Linked DNA regions of Coturnix japonica. The protein of the gene in region 1 purifies or fractionates together with the protein of each later gene. This does not show direct contact. Links are inferred from orthologs where the notes say so. Each region holds a gene or a part of one and is shown on either strand. Other genes may lie near its edges.

What was found. Proteins that work in one complex are often made in the same cells at the same time.
Region 2: the proteins of MPP5 (region 1) and PATJ purify together in Homo sapiens (co-immunoprecipitation; 5 studies listed by BioGRID and IntAct, counting the BioPlex papers as one, with this or other methods). This does not show direct contact. The link is inferred for Coturnix japonica from reciprocal best matches to the Homo sapiens genes PALS1 and PATJ.

The regions. Positions count from the first base shown.
Region 1 is NC_029520.1:27,488,352-27,499,139, forward strand, and holds part of MPP5 (MAGUK p55 subfamily member 5), read left to right. Parts: intron 1-422; 5' UTR 423-569; coding exon 570-936; intron 937-4,629; coding exon 4,630-4,838; intron 4,839-9,748; coding exon 9,749-9,826; intron 9,827-10,323; coding exon 10,324-10,470; intron 10,471-10,788. UniProt on the Homo sapiens protein: Plays a role in tight junction biogenesis and in the establishment of cell polarity in epithelial cells.
Region 2 is NC_029523.1:24,549,713-24,560,500, forward strand, and holds part of PATJ (inaD-like protein), read left to right. Parts: intron 1-2,540; 5' UTR 2,541-2,672; intron 2,673-3,683; 5' UTR 3,684-3,717; coding exon 3,718-3,739; intron 3,740-3,821; coding exon 3,822-3,988; intron 3,989-5,639; coding exon 5,640-5,831; intron 5,832-7,186; coding exon 7,187-7,326; intron 7,327-9,055; coding exon 9,056-9,254; intron 9,255-10,788.

The DNA of each region.
Region 1 (10,788 bases):
TATCTTTTACATGTTTATAAATCCTCCTGGGAGTGTTTTGTTTATAACAAATTATTCATGTTTAGTGCTTGTTCTACCACAGTTTTGTGTTGGAATTTTTAAGAGTGAAGGAACGTGTAAAAACTGTATGGGAATTTTCAGAAAACTGCTAATTTGCAGTTGTGTATTTTAAGTTCAGAATAATGCAGTTCTTTGATATGGAATTGTACAAAATATTAGCATTAGTTTGAGCTACTAATTTTCTAATGCCAGCGCTTGAAAATTTCTTCAACATATGAATCAGGTTTGTGAGGGTGCTGTAGTTCTTAGTAAGGGAAGTATAATGTGGAGGGGAAGTTTGTGCTTGGAGCACTGAAGAACTGTCTTAGGTATTTTGTTATTAATACAGATATTTACTAATTTTTTTTAATGTGTTTCTTTAGATTTTCATCGTGGATGCTTCTTCAGCTGTCTTGTGATGGAAGAGAGATATTTTTGAAGTTATAATGGATTTTACGCAGCAGCATTACAAAAACTGGCCTAATAGCAGCATTTCTATTTAAAGAGAGTAGGCCTAATTGCACATAACCATGACAACTTCTCATATGAACGGACACATCACAGAAGATTCTGACAGTGAAGCAAAAAATGTGGATCTTGCATCTCCTGAGGAACCTCAGAAGCACCGAGAAATGGCTGTCGATTGCCCTGGTGATTTGGGCTCCAGGATGATGCCCATGCGGCGGAGTGCTCAGCTGGAGCGAATCCGGCAGCAGCAGGAGGACATAAGGCGCAGAAGGGAGGAAGAGGGGAAGAAACAGGAATTGGACCTTACTGCTTCAATGAGGCTTAAGAAATTAGCACAGATTCCTCCGAAAACTGGAATAGACAATCCAATATTTGACACAGAAGAAGGGATTGTTTTGGAGAGTCCTCATTATACTGTGAAGACGTTAGGTAGGTGTTAATGGAAATTACGGGTAGGTTAATGGAAAAGAAAGATTTATGTGAATATTTTAAAATAAATGTCTGAAGTCACACACAGCAGAAATATTCACTAGTTCGGTGAGTATGTATGGTCTGTTCTTTGAGCTAGAAAGGCTGGGACCTTTTGAAGACACAGCAGTGTAATTAGACTAATTTATGTTATATCAGTATCTGTGACACGATGAGGGGAAATGGCTTTAAACTTGGAGAGAGTAGATTTAGACTAGATATTAGGAAATGATTCTTTACTGTGAGGATGATGAGATACTGGAACAGGTTGCCCAGTGAAGTTGTGAATGCTGCCCCCTCCCTGGAGATGTTCAAGGCCAGGCTAGGTGGGGATGTGAGCAACTTGGTTTGGAATTTGGAGTGATGCTGCCTGTTGCTGATTCTCGTCAAGTGCTGGTGAAGTTACCTTATGAATGCCTATAAATGTAAAATACAGAATACCACAAAAAGGGCTGGAGTCCATTTTAGTTAGTACTTCTGCCTTTTTAATGAATTAGAGAAGCTGGAATTTTTCAAGTTAATACGTACAACTTCTTGATCTCTAAAAAAAACTTGCTAGCCCATGACTTTGTCAAAACAAACAAACAAACCCAAAGCCTTGCAGTGTGTGAAGTCTTTCGTACTTAGTTTGAATTTCTGAAGCGAGCTGGTTCTGACTCCTGAATTTTCACCTTGGTAAATTTCTAAGCTTTGTTAGCAGAACTCTTAACCAGTTCTGAGTGAATTACGAAGTTGTTAAACTACTGTTATCATTGTGTTTTAAAAAAAGGATTTTAGCTTTGCTTTATTTGTTAAGCTGTAGAATTGCTGCTAAAACATAGGGCTGTAAATGCATGTTATCTATATTTTTAGTTTTGAATATAATGTTCCATACATGCTAATATCTCATTTGGTATTTCTTTGCCAGGCCTTTGATCTTTTCATCTTAACAATTAAAAAATCAAGCAAATTGGATTTTGTTTGTAGAGATAAAATAGCATGCGTAATTAAAACAGTTTTAAAGGGCATGTTTATTATCAAAACAGGACATGATTAGACAGCTGACAGGGTGGAAATACCTTTCTGAGCACCCAGAACATGTTCATTGCTGAGAAATTTAACAAACTCATTCATAGCAATGTAGTTCTCTTAAATGCAGAAAATATGTTTTACATTGCTGCTTATTCTCCTAATTAAATTAATAGCTGACACTTCGTGTAAGAAACCTTTTGTGGCTACAGCAAAAACTGTTCTTTTTTTTGCAGGGGGAAGGCTGCCTGTTCCTTTTTTGTTTTTATTCCTCAGGCAAAACTTACAAAATATAAAACGTTTTGTTTTCTAAAAGTTAATTTAAACTTATAAATAGTTATGCATAAAACAGTTTTCTTAGCCCTGTTATTCAAGTAATATATGAGGCATTAGAGAGCTAGCAGTAGCCTGCGGAGTATTCTAAAGTTATTGTGGCAATATATAATAAAGCCAATTATGTGCTTTTAAATTTGCTGCTTGTAACTTTTCGTTCAAAATTATTATATGCAGCATTATTTTTCTTGCTTCTTCTGATCCAGTGTGTTAAGCAGTGACCGTGGGTCCTCCCCTGCACTTGCGTGTTTTTTTTCCAGCAGTCTTTTTGATTACCGTGTATATCGTGCAGTGCTGTGTCACATTCCAGCCATTTCTTTGCTCTAATGGGAAAAGGCTGCAATGATTCTTGAAAAACAAGAATTGAAATTAAACAAAGCAGTTGATGGCTAATTGATCCGTGCTGTAAAGTGGACTTTCTGCCACAGAACCCTGAATTTTTCTGTGAGTAAATGCAAGATGTTAGTTGTTTACTGAGCTGCTTTCTTCTATACAACCCTTTAAATAGGAAATGTCTAGAGATAGTCTTGCTACCAAGAACAAAACCTTCAGAAATATAATCTGTGACTTAAAATTCATTAACAGGGACCTAGAGAGGCTTGTTTTCATGCCTTTGGAGCTTTTGCTGTTCCTGGGGGGAGGGTCATATGGTATTGGTCTTCTGCATCCAGCACAGATGAAGATTGGGTGTACAGGGAAATTAGTTGATGGGGAGATTTGTAAGGAAGGGGAAGATAGAAGGAACTAGGAAAGCACTGAAGAGAGAATGTGTGGAGGCATCTAAGAAGAGTCCATCTTTTTACTATATCTGTAGAATAGATGTTTATCAGTCCATATCTGTTTTCTATCTTATATGCAGTATACGTTAGAAAGTGTATGAGCATGTACTTGAAGTCTCAGGTGTATGAGTGGGCTAGAGAATTCAGAAGTAATTGAGTAAAACCATTAATGCTTGAGGAGTATTGTAAAGAAGTTGAGTTCTCTAATGCCTCATTTCTTTGAACCTAGTAACAGTATCAACAGAGTTTTCAGCTGATGCTTGACTGAACAGGCACTAACAGAAACTTGAACATCTGGCTGTTTTTCATGTTTTCATTTTTATTTTTTTTTAATACTTGAAAGCAGTTCTCTTCAGTCTCAGGAGAAAAGGTTGCAGAGACTATTTGCATACTCCACTAGGCAAGAAATCTGCCAGATAACCACGTCCTATTTAGCAGTTATTCTTGCCTGCTAGGTGTTAACTTTCATCCCAAACAGCAGTTCCATGTGTGATCTTGTATGCCTCTCCCCAATAAGATGTTGGCCTTAGTTACTGTTCTGAGCTGTACTGTGTTTTCCTCGTGGAATATCCTGTCCTGCCTCTGAGTTTTCAGTGCATCCATCTTCTTACTGCCCTTTGTTTCCTTGGTGGTTGTAGGAAGAAGCCTTTGGTGGGTAGGATGTATTTTATGTGACTGTGAAATGCTTTGGGGATATGTTTTTGGGGGATTATTTCTTTCCTTTTAGAAAACTGACTTGCAATCTCCAAATTGAAAACATTAATGTATGCTTTGAAATTAAAAGCTTTCAAGCACATGTAAAGGCATATTTACTTGTGCTTTACAGGTTTCTTGTGCCCCTTGATCAGCCATTTTAATCTTAATGAATCGAATGTTTGATTTAGTCTAGCCTAGTGTTCAGTGTACCGTGTTCAGGGTTTGGGGCTCGTAATCTGATAGGTGACGTGGATTTGCTTTTATGTGGGATTGCTTTTAGAGCAGAAGACTTTCATGAGTGTAGAAGATTTTTCTTCACTTTTTTTTTACCTTGTTATTTTTAAACTGCTAAGAGCATAATTTTGCACTTAATAACTCAGCGTAATTTACTGATCAATAACTCACTTTATAAGTGATATACATGTGATAAGTGTATTTAAATAATTTAGTGTACAGTGAATCACAATTAGTTTAGCAACGCAGTTGATTTCATATTGCAAAGTAGTTCCTCTTTAACATTTATTTACAGGTGAGCTGTGGTTATTGAATCTTTTACATACCAGTGATTTCCTTCAGAGAAGTACTGCTCCTATTATTTGAAATTCAATTTTGAATCATGTATCAGCTTGTTTCTTTTTCATATTCTGGCTTGTGGTTCTTGTTTTGATTGTACTATGTTCTGCTGATAACCGTGAGACAAGAATAGCTAAGTAATATATTTGCATACATTACTGCTGATTTAAAAACTGAGCAGCAAAATTTTTTTTGTAGAACTCTGAACACAAACATTACAACATCATTACTCTTTAACTTGTGTCTTGGTTTTATTTCCTACCAGAAGTGGAAGAACTATTGACTTCCCTAAAACATATCCAGCATGTCTTGGTAGACCCTCAGAGCCAAGAGGATATCTCTCTCATCTTACAGCTTGTTCAAAATACTGATTTTCAGAATGCATTTAAGATACACAACGCGGTTACAGTGTACATGAACAAAGCCAGCCCTCCGTATCCTCTCATCTCCAACGCACAAGAACTAGCACAAGAGGTATGTACAGTATGCATCTCTGTGGTATCTATACGAAGTGTGTAATCGTAGCTGTTGTTGAAATGTGTACTTGGTGAACTTGTCTGAGTTACTGCATGCTAAATAGAAAATGGATTCCAGTAGTCACTGATTGCTGTGTCCAGCTTTTCCACATCTCCAGGAAAACAGTAACTGGAAGAATATTTTGGGGGTAAGAACACCCATTTTGATGTGAGTAGTTATGTAAAAGAATTAAACCATGTAAAAGAATTAAACACAAAAGGGAGCAGTTAGGGAAAACTTTTCATGTTAGGTTATTATTATATTAGTCTTTAGTCCAAGCATTAGTAATTGCATTGCAGTTATCTGTTACTGTGAGTTTTCTCCAAGTTTAGCCCTGGTTCTTAAATTTGGAGGCATCTCTGAAAACACAGCTGTACTGGAAGAAAACATTTTGCTTTAAAGTAAGCAGCAGGTGCCTTCCTACTTCATTTCTATGTTTTGATTACTGCTGTGATTGTCAGATTACAATTAATTTTTTTCTGCCATGAAAAAAAATAAGCTCCCTGATAAGACTAATCATGTCTTTTAGAAATGGTTAAACATGCTTTTAGGGATCTACTTCAGTAAGATTTAAGACTTCCATATTTTCACTGAGATCAGAAGTATTTGAAATACTGTTAAAAATTTTGTTAACTGTTTTCTTTGAGTCTTAATCATTTGAATGCAGATGAACAATGTCTATTTATAGTAGCCTTATAAGGCTACTTGGTAGACCCTCAGAGCCAAGAGGATATCTCTCTCATCTTACAGCTTGTTCAAAACACTGATTTTCAGAATGCATTTAAGATACACAACGCGGTTACAGTGTACATGAACAATTCACTGGAATTACTTCTATATTCCAGTTTCATTGGAAATTCTTCAGATACAAATTTACAGATAACAGAGGCAGTATCAGCACAAGTGCAACAGGTTGCATTCTGCAGAGCCAGCTCCCCAGGCCAGTTAAGTACACCTGCTCAGACCTGGCTCAGGTGCACTGGCGCATTGCTCACAGATGCATCACTTCCATTTCAGTATGGCAGCAGGATGATTCTTGTAGTGTCTGGTTTTGTTGATCTTGAAAGTCAAAGAAAACAATGTTGCAGTCTTTGTTCTTTTGCAGAATTAATTACTGGCTCTTGAGAGATGTCAATAAAACATTCTCAGAAGGCACAGTTTGCCCAGTAATCTGCTGCTCAGGATTTTTCTGTTCAGGCTTGTCAGTAAGATTGCACCAAAACCAAGTGGGAATATCTTTCCAGTGAGCTTGCCTCTGGTTTATTGGTCTGCCTCTAGGCTGCTCCAGGATGCTTGTTAAGCTTCGTCTGAGTCTGGAGGAACCTTCCAAGTTAACTTCTGTTTGTAAGCCATTTCCTCATACATACATCCTGCCTGTAGGCCTAGTTTGCATTTTCACTCAGGTGCAAGTCAGAGATTTTAAATCTCTATTTGTATATTGAATGTTTAGATTAATATAAGAAATGTGGTTGGTTTTCTCCCCCACCACCACCCCTCTCCTTCATGGATATGATATTTCTTTGGTGCTTAATGGAAGTTTCCAGGAGGAATATATGCCTTCCAACTCTAAATTACCCTGCAAGACAAAATCTTTTCTTGACATCTGTAGTGGAATAGCAGAGCTTTATCAGTATAGGGCAAACTACAAGTCAGTTCTCAAATGTTCATATTCCTCCCTGCCCTCTTCCCTAACTCCCACATTCTCAGCACATTCCTCTGTTATTTTCAAGTAGTTTCATAAATCCTAAAATCAGAAGGCAGTGCAAAGGCAGTTATGTGTCTTAGCAGTAATGCATAAAAGCATTTAAGAATTAAGTATTTTGCTTGTCTGGTGGAATTTTGTCATGACCTAGAAGAATATTACATAGAATGTGATGTATTCCTGCGCTTGTTTTGATGCTCCATCCCCTGTCTGTGTCTTGTCACAGCCTTGAAATTCCTGAAGGGAAATATATTGCATATGTCTGTACTCATTTTCAGATGTAATCTAGATTCAGCTTCTGATTTATTTAAGCAAATCATATTTTGCAATACTTTGAATAACATCCTGAGATGATTAAGCTGGAAATTCAGGACAGATATTTCTGTGACCAACAGAAGTGTTGTAAGGAAAAGCTTGAGGCCTCCGTTCATGTCATTCTTGTTTGAACAGATCTTACATTCATTTTTCAGTCCTGTTATCCCTTAATGAGGAAGTAATTTTTTGCTTCAGGAAAAGTTGTTTTCCACACACACACACACCTCCCAGCAGGGGCAGCATGCCCAATTATTTTGTAGTTTTTCCTGTTTGTGCCTTTTGCTTTTCTCATCTCTAAATATTAGGTTCCGGAAGCTCCCTCAGAACTCAGTACTTTAATCTTTTTGGAGCATTACCTACTTCAAGGTGTTTTTAAAGAGACATTTGGAAAAGTCTTTAAGGTGGAATGGAGCATTTAGGTGTAGGGAATTTATTTTAAAGACCTAATCTCCATAAAACATTGTGTTGTTCATCTCTTAAACAAAAATAGCCAGTAAACATCAAGTGTAATTAAATTGATTTTAAATCCTTTTAAATTTGACCAAAATAGAGGCAAGGATTATGGGAACATGGTCTGAATCTTGACCTTGTAAGAATATTTGATGCAGCGTGTAAGACACTTGGTAGTTTTTAGCTTGTAACACCACGTCAAATGCCTTGAATATATTCTTGCTATTAAATATACTCTACAGACTCAATTTATATAAATTATGTTCCTAAATACCTGATACCCTTCACTTCAGGAACTGTAATCAATTAAATTTGATCAGGCCTTCTGAGAAGACAGATTGTATGTTTGTAACTTCCAGTGTAATTTTTTTATTATGTGAATGTACATTGCTCCCAACGGTCGCACTGAACCCACGCAACATGGTTTTGCAGGTATGATTATATTCTGAAGGGCCAACATCATTCCAGTGTGAGCCCTCTGGTATGTGTCTCACAGTGTGCCTCCAAATTGTGGCTTTTATAATGAAACCCCATTAATAATTTCTTAGCTGTTAGAGTTCAAGTTAATGTAACTAACAATAAAAACTGGAATGAAGGGTTAAGAAAATAATAGTATTGCCAAATGTTTAGCGCGGAATGCTTATTCTGTCTGTGGTGTGTCACTTCTGGAACGTCAGCCTAGATTTGGATTTCTTCACCTGATGAGACATGGAATTCTTTACCTTAAATAACAAAGCAATCTGACATGCAGCAATACCAGTGTAATAAGAGTTGCACAAAGCAGACTGAACCTTTCCTAGTGATTCACACATTATATTAAGCAAATAAATAATGAATTTATCTTTTCCTTAGGAAGGAGGTGGAGGAGCTGTTAGCGTTTTTGAGTAATATAATTTTTCAAAGAGGAAATTCAGCTGCCATAGAGGATGCTATTGCACAGAGGATCACTGGTTGGGCCAAGTCACAAGGCATGGAAAAATAGAGGAGGAGGGGAGATGCTGTTCTGAGCATCTAAATGTATATATGGCTTATTGTGCGCTTATTATTCAGGCTTCATATGTGAATCATGTAGCAACTAGCAAAATGTTACTTTAAATAATATATTGTTTAGGATTGTTCTTATGCTAAATATTTATTTTATAAATTCACAAAGCGTGCAGATTTGATTCTGAGATGTACTACATACGTTCGTAATTATTGGTACATCTTTTTCTCTGTCTAATACTTAGCATCTGGCCACATGTTTGAAATGTCTTGCTTGCAGGACTTCTAACTGGGGATAACTTCCTGGCAGCTGCAGAGATATGACTTAGGTCAAACTGATGTGAAGCTGAATTCCTTCTGTTCTCTGTGTTTTTATCTAAATTAGTTCTTCAGTTTAGTTCTTGATTTTTTTTTTATTTTTTTTTTTTGTCACATTTTTCATCCTTAAGAGTGGAAAACTCTCGGGGAAAAGAATGTTTTCTATCGCACAGAAAGCTGCTGTTATGTATAATCTGTTCTTGATTCCTACAGCTTCATTAGTGCTTTTGGACTCATGACTTTGATGCAGATTAGGCCTGAAGATAATTACTGTAGAAAGTATCTTCTTCAACCTTGCCTTTAGATAAAGGGGAATGCCCTGCTCCTGGCTTGCCTTTAAAGCATACAGGGATTTTCTGTATTTGAGATGATGGCAAGACCTATTTAAGTGAACAGGAATGCAAACCTTTTTTGGCAACAAAAGCTACTTGAGCAAGAACAGCTGTTGTCTTTCTGTGGATTATTCTTTTTCTGTGGCAAACAAAATAAATAATAGCTGAAGAAAACTGGTTTGCTGAGATGCTGGTATTTTGAAGTTTTGACTCTTAGAGTTTCTGAGGCAGATGTTCCAGCAAGTGCTGCAAAACCTGTCTTGGAATCTTTGTTCTTGCTGCTAGTAGCAATACTGGGTTAAAAATAAATCATCTACTTTTAAGGAAAAGGAAGTCTGGTCACAGTAGTGAGAAACTAGTCAATTTTGAAAGATGTAGCAGTATTTGCATGGTAGGCTTCACTGTGGCTAATTATGCTGTCAGGTTCTTTTCTCAACTTCTTTGCATACATCTCTTGTGGTAGCTGAGATCATTGTTATCATTGTTAGTTTTTGTTGAGAAATCCATGTGATATACTGGATACCAGTTTGCATTCGATAGAAAATCACTGAGGTGCAGCATTCTGGAGTAGTCCTGTGATCTCACTGCATGTATTCCTAATGTGTACTAGGCCAGGCTCAGTGCGTCAGTATAACAATTATGTGCGCATATTTTACTTTCAGTAAAATGAATGATGATTGCAGCTAAGGTTTTGTGCTTCAGTTGGAGAAGGAAGACTGATAAATCACTGGGTAGACTGAGAGCTTTACTACTTCATTTCTTTTCAGGTTCAGTGTGTTTTGAAACCCAGTCACCACAGGGATGGGCAGGAACTCAATGCCTTGCTGAATGCCCCTCACATGCAGGTAAAAAAAAATTATTGTATTCTGCAGGTATTACAAGGTAGTTTTGACGTGAGCAAGGTAGCACTAGATCAGTAATGTCAGTGGCAACACATGAGCTACTTACTTTCCTGAGGGTTTTTTTCTGTGATAGATTCAGCTATTGCATTCTTATAGTAGGGTGCATAAAGAGAATTTTGTCCAGTGAAGTAAATTCATGAGTAGTTTTGACTGCAGTAGGTTTTTTTGCTTCTGTATCTTTGACATACATAGTAAACCAATGTCTGACTTTTTTTTCAAGAAGGAGAAGCCATAAGTATAGTTCCAACTTTGTGTTCAAAGTAATTTTGTATTATTTTCCAAAACCGAAAGCAGAATTTTTGTCAAGTAGAAATTACAGTATTCTGTATTTATAAAGTATTCTGTAGTTATAAAGAGCTTTCAAATTGCAGAATTTCATTGATGGCTACTATTTTGTATGCATATGGAATTAGAATTTTTCTCATTTTGTTTAACACTAGGCACTTCTACTAGCACATGATAAGGTTGCAGAACAAGAAATGCAACCCGAGCCTGTTGCAGATGAAAAAATTTATGAGAATGTTGGCACGTATGGAGGGGAAACGGTTAAAATAGTTCGTATTGAGAAAGCTCGAGATATTCCATTGGTAAGTATTTGTACTTGCCCAGTTATGCTTAAAGCAGTAAAGCTGTCTTTGCAGATAGCTATGAAAGTTACAGGATTTGAGTGTGAAAGTTATATTTAACTTAGAAATCATTTTCTTCCCCACCTGCCCAAATGATAAATGGTCATAAATGATTACTTAATGCGCATTATGATATAGCAGTAGACAGCACTTAGAGCCTGTATAGCTTTCATCGTGTGGATTTGGCTAGGGTTTTATTATAGCAGTCACTATCCAAGTTTAGCTGCAGGAAAGCTTAGATTCTTGTCCAATTACAGGTGGCTGTGTTATGTTAGTGTT
Region 2 (10,788 bases), on another chromosome or scaffold:
ACTGAGAGCTGCGGAGAGGCAGGATTTCCCCTATGAGCACAGCTCTTGGAAGGATTCACGTTGTTGGGGGTGAAGCAATTGTAGTTGTTAGGTGAGAGGGGGGACGTGGGCAGAAGCAGCTCTGTTGGCTAAACCGTGCCCTCCTCCAGCTCCCAGCACAGAGCCCCTTAGTTTTGTCTCCCAGGAGCCTCCGCAGAGCAAGAACTTGTCAAGGCCACTGCCAGAGGTGTCGTGTCGTTCTGAGCCTGGGATGTGCCGGGCTGAGTGCCCCGTGGCAGCTCTGGGGGGTGATGGCAGGGGAAGACTTAAACCTTTCAGCTCTTCTGATGACCTCTGCTGGCACCAGCATGGGGGAATTCCTTTTTTCTTAGTTTGCTTTTGAAGGAGATCCAAGTCTTAAGATTTCATACAAAACCTTATGAAACTTTCCCGCTCCCTATGATGCGTTGAGTTCAGCTCTCAAAAGTGAAGACAGTCAAAACCCAGATACACGCTGTGCTGAAGAGTGGGGTTTTTTTCTGGGGTTACAAAACACTCCGCTTTCTGAAACTCATGATTTTCGCAATGATTTTACGATTACGTTGGGACTTGTGACATGAATTTTGAACTTTGAGGTTTGCAGCTTTGTCTACCAATAAGATAATTAAGTGGCTGTAGAAATCTGGGAATGGAGTTGAGGAAGTTGAATGCAGAGTGGACAAATAGTTTTTTACAAGACAAACCATGGTGTTTTGGGTTACTTCATAACTATCATCGAGGAATGGACCTCTTAATTTGTGAATGATCTGTTGGCACCCCGATCAGGTCTAAGCATCAGTACTTGGAAATTGATTAATGATTATGTGTTTGGGTCCTCAAACACAAACAGGGCTATAGTGGATGGAGCTGTGTGCTTCTCTGGAGCCTGAACACCAGTCTTGGGGACTTGTTCTCAATTACATATTACTTGAAAACTTGGAATTAGCTTGTGTTCTCAGGGATCCCCTCGCACCTGAAGGAGCTGTCTACCTTAAATCACACCTTTCCCCCCCCCCCCGCCTTTCCCCCCCGGCTCTTTTTATTTGAAAGAAAAGAGAACAAAAGAAACATTAGGAGTGGTTTTAACGTATTGCTCAAAGAAAAATATCACTGTAAAGCATTGCAAGCTGACTAGAGGCCAGCTTTAATCACGAGGGATCCCAAAGTGCTGTGTAAACTTGAACTTTCCTGCTAACTGTACCTGAGGTCCACTTCAGCATCTGCTGGAGAGAAGTGCTCTGCAGTGGTTCTCAGCAGTGCTTTGGGGCAGCCCAAGCAGGAAGCTGATGCTTTCTTTAATGTATTTCCTTGTGATTTTATGTTTTCTTTTTTTCACCTCCTTCTCCAGGGGACTTCTGCATGTTAGATGGAGCCTAGATATCCTACATACATTTTTCTGCTCTAATTTTTCTTCCTTGGATCTGCACCCGTTGCCATAATTGCTATTGTTACACCCGCTGTAATGGAAAAAAGATTAATCTTGGAGACTGTCAGCACGGCTCTTTGAGGCTGCCTTTGAATGACGCAGGCTATTTCTCATGGTACAGTTTGCCAGCACAGCTGAGCTACTGCAACCGCTAGTTGCTGCTGCAAGGTGTGGTCCTGTTCCCAGCCCCATCCCATGTGCTGTTGTTTGAGCACTAGGTGGGCAGGAGGCTCGGCCCCACCAAATGTGGGGGCTTGTTGGGTGTTTAACTCCCTGCTCCAGTTCACTGTGGGATCAGATGAATAAAGGCCAGCCCAGATGGGACGGGAAGGAGGACAAAATGCATGAAAGATACTTTGGCTTCTTGGCTGTTAGATGGGTACAGTGTTGTCAAGTTGTTATTTCCTGCCATACTGCATTTCTTTTCTGGGTTTAATCTTCACCCTACCACTGGCATTAAGGTGTTTCAAGTCACTTTTCCTCATAGGAGTTCTTGTGTATCTCACTGTTGCTGGTTTGCTTTATTGTTTTACTGCTGATGTGAAAACGGGGAAGTTACATTGATTATGAAGGGGAAAAAACCCTTCATATTCCTGTTTTTTAAGATTCACACAGTATTTTTAGCTAAGGAGGTGAAGTTTGGACTTCTTGGTTTATGTGAAGACTCAGGAGTATATAAGGAAATGGTATTTTCATCTGTACTTCAGAATCAGATCTCAGCACAGAATCAAAGGCCGCTGCTGTGCTATTTTGTTTCAAATAGAAAAGGAAATAAAGCTGCAGAACTCACATAAGTTCAGATGCATTCCTGAAAGTCTTTCAGGAGTTGTGTGCCTCCTCAGCCCCTCCTATGAATTTGATTTGAAATGACCTCCTAAATCTGTTAATAGTCTTGTGAAGGGACTCATTTTGCTTGGCCCTAGGTGGAAACCATGCAAGTCCACCGAGTTCTGCAGGAATTCTCGTAGAAGCCAAAATTGCTTACATTGAGCAAAGTGTACATAAATCTGAAACTGTGCTTTGTGACTTACCACCTATTTTTTTTTTTTTTCTTTCTTTTTCATCTGCTTAATTATTATTCTCTTATGTATTTCAGTGTCTTCCTGGAATTCCAGACATTTTTGGCTGGGGCGTGGATAGGATCAGAGCTGAAAGGGTCAGAGGTTCTGCTGGGTGAGCAATAATACACAAACAACCATACTCGCTCTTGGATTGCAAGATTAACAAAGTAAATGTAGAGCTTTTTTTGCAGTATAGATTTTTTTTTTTTCCCCAAATAATTCCAAATTTATATTGTTCTGAAGTTGCACTGTTATATACAGGGCATAGTCTAAATTATGTAATTTGTGCTATTAAACAGTTGACTTCTTTCAGAAGAGCTTGTACTAAGCGAAGAAATCTTGTTTCTTGTGTTTTTGGTGTAACTACTTTGATAGGTTTCAGAATGAGAGGCTCCACCTGAACTTTATAACTTGCAAATGAAAGTCCTCTAGGCCTCAGCCTCAGCTGCAGACCTGTTCTCTTTCACGTTGCAGAGAGGGTGGGAAAGGACACCATGTTCCTTTAAAGCTTGTCTCATATATAGGAAAGAGAAAGGCAAGCACATGGAGGAGAAGGACATAGTTTTCTCTTACCTATTTGACACCAAAGCTGTCACTAAGATGCTGGATTAGGAATTGGGTTAGCCAATTTGGGACATTGATGCTATGCTGTTTTGTGAGCAAAGGGGACCTCATCATTTTATGGGAACTTCTTGAAGAATTGTTTTATTTCAAGATTTCACCTGTATTGCCACATAGCAGGGCTGAGCTGTTGTGAGATACACAAATAATTAAAACAAGTGGAAGTACCTGCTAAATAATACAAAGAGTTAGGTATTGTGTATTTGAAAAGATCACAGTTTTAATGTTCTCATTCCAGATAATTTGGTTGAACATAGCTGTGTTGATTTCTTTGACCAATTTGTTGCTTTTGTTTTATAATGTGTATTATTCCTCATCTTTGGAAGAGTTGTTCTTCCTTTTCTAGTGTAAAAGCAGCAGCACACAGAACAAGGAGAAATTTGTGAGTGTGCTGGGCTGCTCTGCAACTGGCTGTACTGAAGAGCTAATTGTGGTGTTCTTTAATTAATTTTGTTATAGTTAACTTAATATTTTACTACTGCATTTATTGACATTCTACCTTAAAGCATTCTACTCAAAGATATCATGTATTTGTTTGTTGTTTTTATCTCATCTAGATTATTCTGAGTAATTCCAAAGATATTCTCCAACATGCCTGAAAACCCTGCTGCAGGTATGTAGTCTGAAAGTGAATACTCTGTTAAGTGGTGAGAAATTATGCTCCATTCCTAACATATAACTACTTTGTGGTGCAGATAAACAGCAGGTGCTGCAGATCATTGACCGTCTGCAAGCAAAACTGCGTGAGAAAAGAGATGTCCAACATAACGAGAACCTGTCTGTGCTGCGAAACACGCTCAAGAGCCCTTTGTTTAACCAGATTCTGACCCTCCAGCAATCCATCAAACAACTGAAAGATCAAGTGAGTGTAGAATTACAATTGTTGGTGTGATTATAACTATACTGAACTTGGAACAAAAGTCTGTGTAGGCATGCGCTAATGAGGACAGTCATTAATAAGCTATAAGTTGGTGCTACTGAATGTTGGCCTTTTTCTTGTCAAGCCTGTATCTATTGAGTCACTTCTGACATGAGAAATGACCTTACAATGCTCTAGTCATGGGGCACCATGCTTTGATAAGGGTGTAGAAGAGACATCGAGAACCACGTCAGTCTGAGAAAAGCATCTGCAAAAGACATCAGCTCTAATACTTTGAGTTCTGAAAACAGTTGAAACTGAGATTCTCTGTTTTTCTCAGTACTGTTCATCAGCTGACTAGCAGCACCTTGTCTCCTTAAAAGACACTATCCGTTAACTGCTGCTGACTTGTACAAGAATGGTTAACATGCTTTGGGAAATAAAATGTAGAAAATCACCCTGAAGATGTGCCAAGCTCTGATGCAGACATATCCAACCTAGCTTTTAAGTCAGTTAAGTATGGCAGTGGAAGTCATAATGCCAGTAGATGCTTGGATCTTGTAGACAAAGATGTTGTTGACACCTCTACCATGCAGTTTGCCAAGTCAGGCACGGAAGCTTAAAAATCAGGGACTAACTTGGCACACTCTATGCAACACTAATTCCTGTCTTTGCTGTTACTGAACCTGTCCAGCTGCAGATATGGTGGGGTAGGTCTCAGGAGAATGGTGCCACCATGCTGTCATTGCTAAATATATTGCCAGTATTGCTGCCTGGATACCATGTAGTGGCTCTGCCATTCATACTTGTCTTCTTCCCCTGTTTGCATTGTTGGAGCATCTGCTCCCGTCTTCCAAATCTTGAGTGCACGTCTGCAAGCTGTTAAAAGTGAGCAAAAATCCAAATCTAGGCTCATGCATCGTAACTGTGGCATAATAGATTTTATATCCAGAATGCTCAGGCTTAACATGTCTAGAAAATAAAGTTTTTGGGTTTTTTTGTTTGTGCTTTTTTTTTTTTTTTTAAATTTTTCTAAGCTTGTCCCCTTTGAGAACTTTCATTCAGGATGGGATTTTTTTTGCTTTACTTCGTTGCACTGGAAGTGTTTCTGCTTTCCTTTTTGTTATTTTGTTGTGTCCTGTTATTTAACAGGACTGGAAACTGAACTACAATTCTAGCTGTGGTAGCGTGTTCAGTTGTAGTTACCTTGTGTCCTAGGTGCACTCTGTATATATTAGGCATTTGAGTGGTTAAGTGACTCGTAAAATTTTGGATTCTAGTGTGAAAACTGTCTGAATTTGCCTGACAGTTCCACCAGCATTTGAGTGCCTCTTTAAATATTTGGTGCAGAGGGAGAAATGAGTAGGATGGGCACAAACTGTGAAGAAGAATGGTAGAACTGACAAAATCGTGTGGAGTAGAACCACAGCTGAATTATTCAGGGAACATTCCTTTCTGTAAAACAGTTTAAAGTTGGTGTGCTGTCTTGATTATAGCTTACACGTTAACATTACCTAAATTACCCAGGTGAGAGCAGTTGTGAGAATGTGGATGTATAAATGTGATTCTTTGTCAGTCTTCACGCGAAATTATATATGTTGAAATCTGTGTTCGTTTTTAATAGTTTTGCCACATCTCTGTTCATTTTTAACAGCTCAATTACATGCCACCTGAGCGGTCAGTAGACTTTGATTTTACTAAGAGAGGACTACTGGTATTTGCTGACAAATCAGTTACAGCTGGAAATGTGTGTAAACAGAGCACTTTACCAGAACCCAGAGCATCTACCTTCATTCCAAACCCAGGAGTTAATGATTTTAATGCAATCATCCAACAGATGGCAAAGGTGAGGCTCTCAGGTTCAGTCAACCAACCTTTAATGTCAGACTTTTTCTTGCATGATTTTGGAGCACTTGTTCAAGCATACTGTTTGATTGTATATCTTGGAGTGTGATGCAACCTAAGCCAGTAACAGAGGTACCAAGGACCCTTGTTTGTTTGTTTTTTTTTTCCCCCCTATGAAAGATTACGTCAACAATGGGAAGTATTTTCTTTACCATTTCTTTTATTTTCTACCACATCAAGGTAGAAATGAAGGTTTGGTTTCCAGAAGACTTTTTTTCTTTGTATTTGATGACACTTAATTGAAAATGGATGTTTTCTGCAGAAACTTGTTTTGATGGAAAGATTTTTTATCAAGTACATTTTGAATTGGAAATGTACCAGCTTTGTTGATATATGAACAGTGCAAATGATTAAAAGAGCTGGCATGTAATATTTTATTTAACTCTTCATTTAATATGTCTCAACTTTGCCAGACAGATGCTGATTTCATTAACATGATGTAGCATGTACCAGATGCTTATGGAAGCTGTACAGGTGCAGACATCTACCCATGTGCAATTGGCATTTATACCATGAGTGCATTGTTCTGTGTTACTTTGAGCCATTAATTTAATTGGTTAGTCGTGCCTTTCTATATTAAGTAACTGTTGCTAATTGACTACCTTAATGTAGCTGTAATATTTTCAGCATAACTCTTCTTGTTAGCGTGTCATTAACTCATCTGATAAAAGATTTAACAGTAAAGACTGCACGTTATTTTGGATAAAGCAGCTGCGATAGAAGTGCTTTCTCTAAGTGTCGCTTCCCAGTAAACAACCCCAGAAATGATGTGTTTGAACTGAGAATCAGGCAGTTGCAAAAGCCGAGTTTTTCTGTTGTTTTGGTTTTTATTTGCATTACATGTGAAGTTGCAGGAATGGGAAGGAAATTAATTTCTTTATTTAAAAGCTGCAATCTTTTGAATGCGTACCTTAAAATCAGCATTAAAAGCTAAGGGAGCCAAAAGACAAGTAATTTAGTTTAACTATGCAGCATTTCCAGAAACCCCAAATATATTGCTATAGACAGCACTTTGTTCTTAGTTTTCATCCAGTTTGGAATTCATCTCATAATGTGAATGAAGTGTGAAAGCAGCTCTTAAATTCCCTGAGGTTTCAGAATCTCAGAGTGCTCGCATATCCAATACTCTGTTATATTAAAAATAATAAATGGAGGAGCTTTTATAGGAATAACATATTTAGTATTTTGCCTTTGTTTAGTCTTAGGAGAGGAATAATTCTCCTGGTGCATAAATTTTGAACTAGCTCATTCTATTGCGTTAAAAATTAGTTAATCCATTTCTTTTTATTTTACCAGGGGAGACAAATAGAATCAATAAGGATTGAAAAGCCTTCTGTCGGAGGTCTTGGATTTAGTGTTGTTACCCTTAAAAATCACAACTCAGGAGAAGTTGGTATCTATGTCAAAGAAGTTCAGCCAGGAAGCGTGGCTGACAGGTGAGATCTTTATAATTGTAATGGAAAAATTGCAGCAGTTCTGTGAAAAGAGAAGGCCTGATTTTTGCCTTGGAGGCTGTCAGGCTAACGTGTTTGTTTGGATTATCTGGTGGGATGCTTTGGAGGTCGTATCTCGCGTTCTGGCTTTTCAGCTAAACAGACTCATGTTTTGAGGATCAGATTTTCAGATGAGTTCCAAATATCCATGCCGTTCACAAATGGAATTTCCAGAAAACATGACTCACTGAAGAGAACTTTGAGTGCTGATTGAAAAACAAAGGCAGCTCGGAAAACAGTACAAGGGAAATAAAAACTCGTCTCTGGATTTTTATTCATTGTATTACTGAAAGATTTTTTTTTTCCCCCTTGTTTCTCTATTTATGTGCCTATGACAATGCTCTATTTATAGTTGGGTTTACTGTGTGTTTCCTGTGTAAATTAAGATCCAGTCCTTCCAGCAGATCCCTGCGCAGATGTCATCATAGAATCGGTGCTTCAGGCACTTTTTTCCTGTATTATCTGCAAGTTCTCACCCAAAAACAAAAGACAGAGCAATCCTTGAAAAACAAAATGTGATTGTAAAACCACGAGAGTTGGCATGAGACAAATGCAGTGCTTGGAATTATGTTTAAAGAAAATGTGTCTAGATTACAAGTCATTGGTGTCACTTTTTAAATAACACATGTCAGGAAGTGCCAACATAGGATGACAAAGAGTGGGGAGAGGTTGGAATGATAATGGCTATGGGCCCACAGAGAACACACCAGAGAACGCTTACAAGAAAAGCATATTAGGCTCTTTCAAAGTGGAGACAGATGGACTGATCTGGATGTCAAAGGAGGGTGAATATCTCACTTTAGGATTTGATGACCTGCTGCTCACTTTCTTTGATGAGAGAGTCTAAAATATGGCGAATGCCTGAAGAAAGGCGTTTCAGGAAAACATCTTAAATGTGGCGTGGTAAAAATGAACTTTAAAATGCATTAGTTAAGATGTACAGCTATATTGTTTTGGAGGTTTCAAAAATCTCCCGGCATGTTCGGTTCTGAGTTAAGATCTCCTGGAGTCTTTTTTGGATTCCTACAGAGCTTTGAAGGCAGTGTCTGTCTATGTAACAGTTTGGTCTCATGCTCGGAATGAATATTTAACAAAGCGGATAAGTGATGGTTTCTCTCTTGTCACAAATCTAAATTCATCACTTGGATGAATTAACTGTGAGATTTATGTTATCCAAAGGTATAATATAAATCGAACTGTCTATTGCCTGAGGAAAGTTTCATGTCTGAGTTTTGATGATATAATTTATGAGTAAAATAGAAATATACAGCTTAACTATCTTTAGGATCAGGTGATGATATAAACCAGTATCGTAGCCTGAGTTTTGGATACTTGGAAATGATGTCCTGTGATGCTAAAAGTAATGAAGAAGAGTTCCTAGTTAGCTGTGTAATTGCAACTTTTTTTTTTTGTCCGATTTAACATCATCAAGAAAGAGTGAGGAGATTTCATTGAATTTTGAATAGTCGAGGGAAGAAAACTGAATAAACTTGCACACTATGATAAAGTTAGGACAAACTTTGGCTGGGCAGTTCAGTACAAACGTATATTGTGTGTGATTTGTAAGTTGAAGTCAGTCTAATGAGTAGATTATTTTTTTTTTTTTTAATGTAAACTTTGCATGGGAAGTCACTGTGCTGCATTTTGAAATTGCTTTTAATGTTTTGTTAAGGGATCAAAGACTAAAGGAAAATGACCACATACTGGCCATTAATTGCACCCCATTGGATCAGAACATTTCTCATCAGCACGCTATTGCACTCCTCCAGCAATCCACGGGATCTTTACATCTGGTTGTTGCTAGGGAGCCGGTTCAAGGAAACAGCAGAACTTCGCCTGTCTCATTGAGTGATACAAATCCACCTGAGACTGTAAGTTGTTGCGATACAGTCAAAATCAGATTTTGAACTATGCTGGGTACTCTTTTTAGTAGTTTTAAGTGTTTCTACAAGTTAGCTTTACATACAGGGTTTGGGGTTTTTTTAATCATGTTTTATCTGTAGTTACATTTGATTTAGACTGATCATGCAGTAAGTGTAACGCTTCCATTGCAAAGCTGCATGAAGCTGTTATAAAATAGGTCCTGGGTTTTTATGTGTTAGTAGAAGTTATAGTAAATCAACCATTTTCTAGCAGCAGGGTCTGTTCAGCATAGTCTGGATAAAGTGTTTTATAAGTATACCCAGCTGAAAAATACTTGCACTTAGCAATTAAAGATGCTCTGATTATATCTTAAAACACTGTAAACATAACCTATCTTGAGCACTGCTTGAAATACCAGAACCAGTGTAAACTTAAATTGCTCAAAACCGAATGCCTTGCCTTTGTTTTTCTTTAATTTGTTAAAGAACCTACCCATTCATTTTTTTTATCTTCTTTTTTAATCTGCAGATTTCATTCATTGTGAGCTCTTTTGTTTTCTTTAACAAGGAGTGATTGTCACTCAGATATAATAAGCTAAGGCTGAGCTTGCATCTGTGTTCAAGCCATATGGTCCAGGTGGCTTCATTGAATTTGGTTGAACTGCACACCTAAATCCAGGGTTTGCAATATTGGAATCTTAATTTATTATGCTAGCAGGTTTTGATGAAAATCTGGTTAAGAGCAGTGTTTTTCCTTATTCTCAGTAATTATTTCCCTTATGATTATTACAGAGGTAGTGAAATCTGAAGGTTTTAGTGGATAATCAATATTGTTTATTGCACTGAAAATTTTAAAGAATTAAACTTTAACTGCTTTTTCATTGAAAGATCTGCACTGAACAGACTAACAAAATAAAATACAAATATATATCTCTACAGGGGGTCTTTAAACTCCTTTTATGATATTTAACTGGCTTTGGCAAAGATTTTCAGTATGCTAATAAATCCTTTATTCACAGAAGACTTAAATCTGCCTACTTTGCTCCATTTTGGTTTCTATGAGATATTAATCTGACAGAAACATTGCCTGCGTTTGGGTTACTTAACAGCTTTGTTATTTTCAGATTGTCTTGTAGAACATAAGGTCATCGCACAGCGTAGCTTAGAAACATGCTTCCAATTCAGCATGGCAGAATTTATACTGCACTATTAATTCAGCATGTACTGGTGCTGTTTAGAGTGTGTAAGTGACATAACAGATAGAAGAATTTGGGCAACGCTAAGTGAAAACTAGGCCAGTTCAAGCTTCTGGACTGTTTCTCTGTTTGCAATATTCTTGATTTCTGAAAAACTAGTAGGATAGTTTCCATTTTGGCAAGAAAATCTTTGAATTACTTTTTCTTAGTCAAGCTTTTTCCTAGTATCCTGTTACAAAAGTGAAGGACAAAATGTATGTTCGGTAAGAGATGAGAAACCTCACTGCATATTTATAAGGTAATGTAGTCAACTGAAGAAAATCCAAGAGATCTCCAGTATGTGGCAA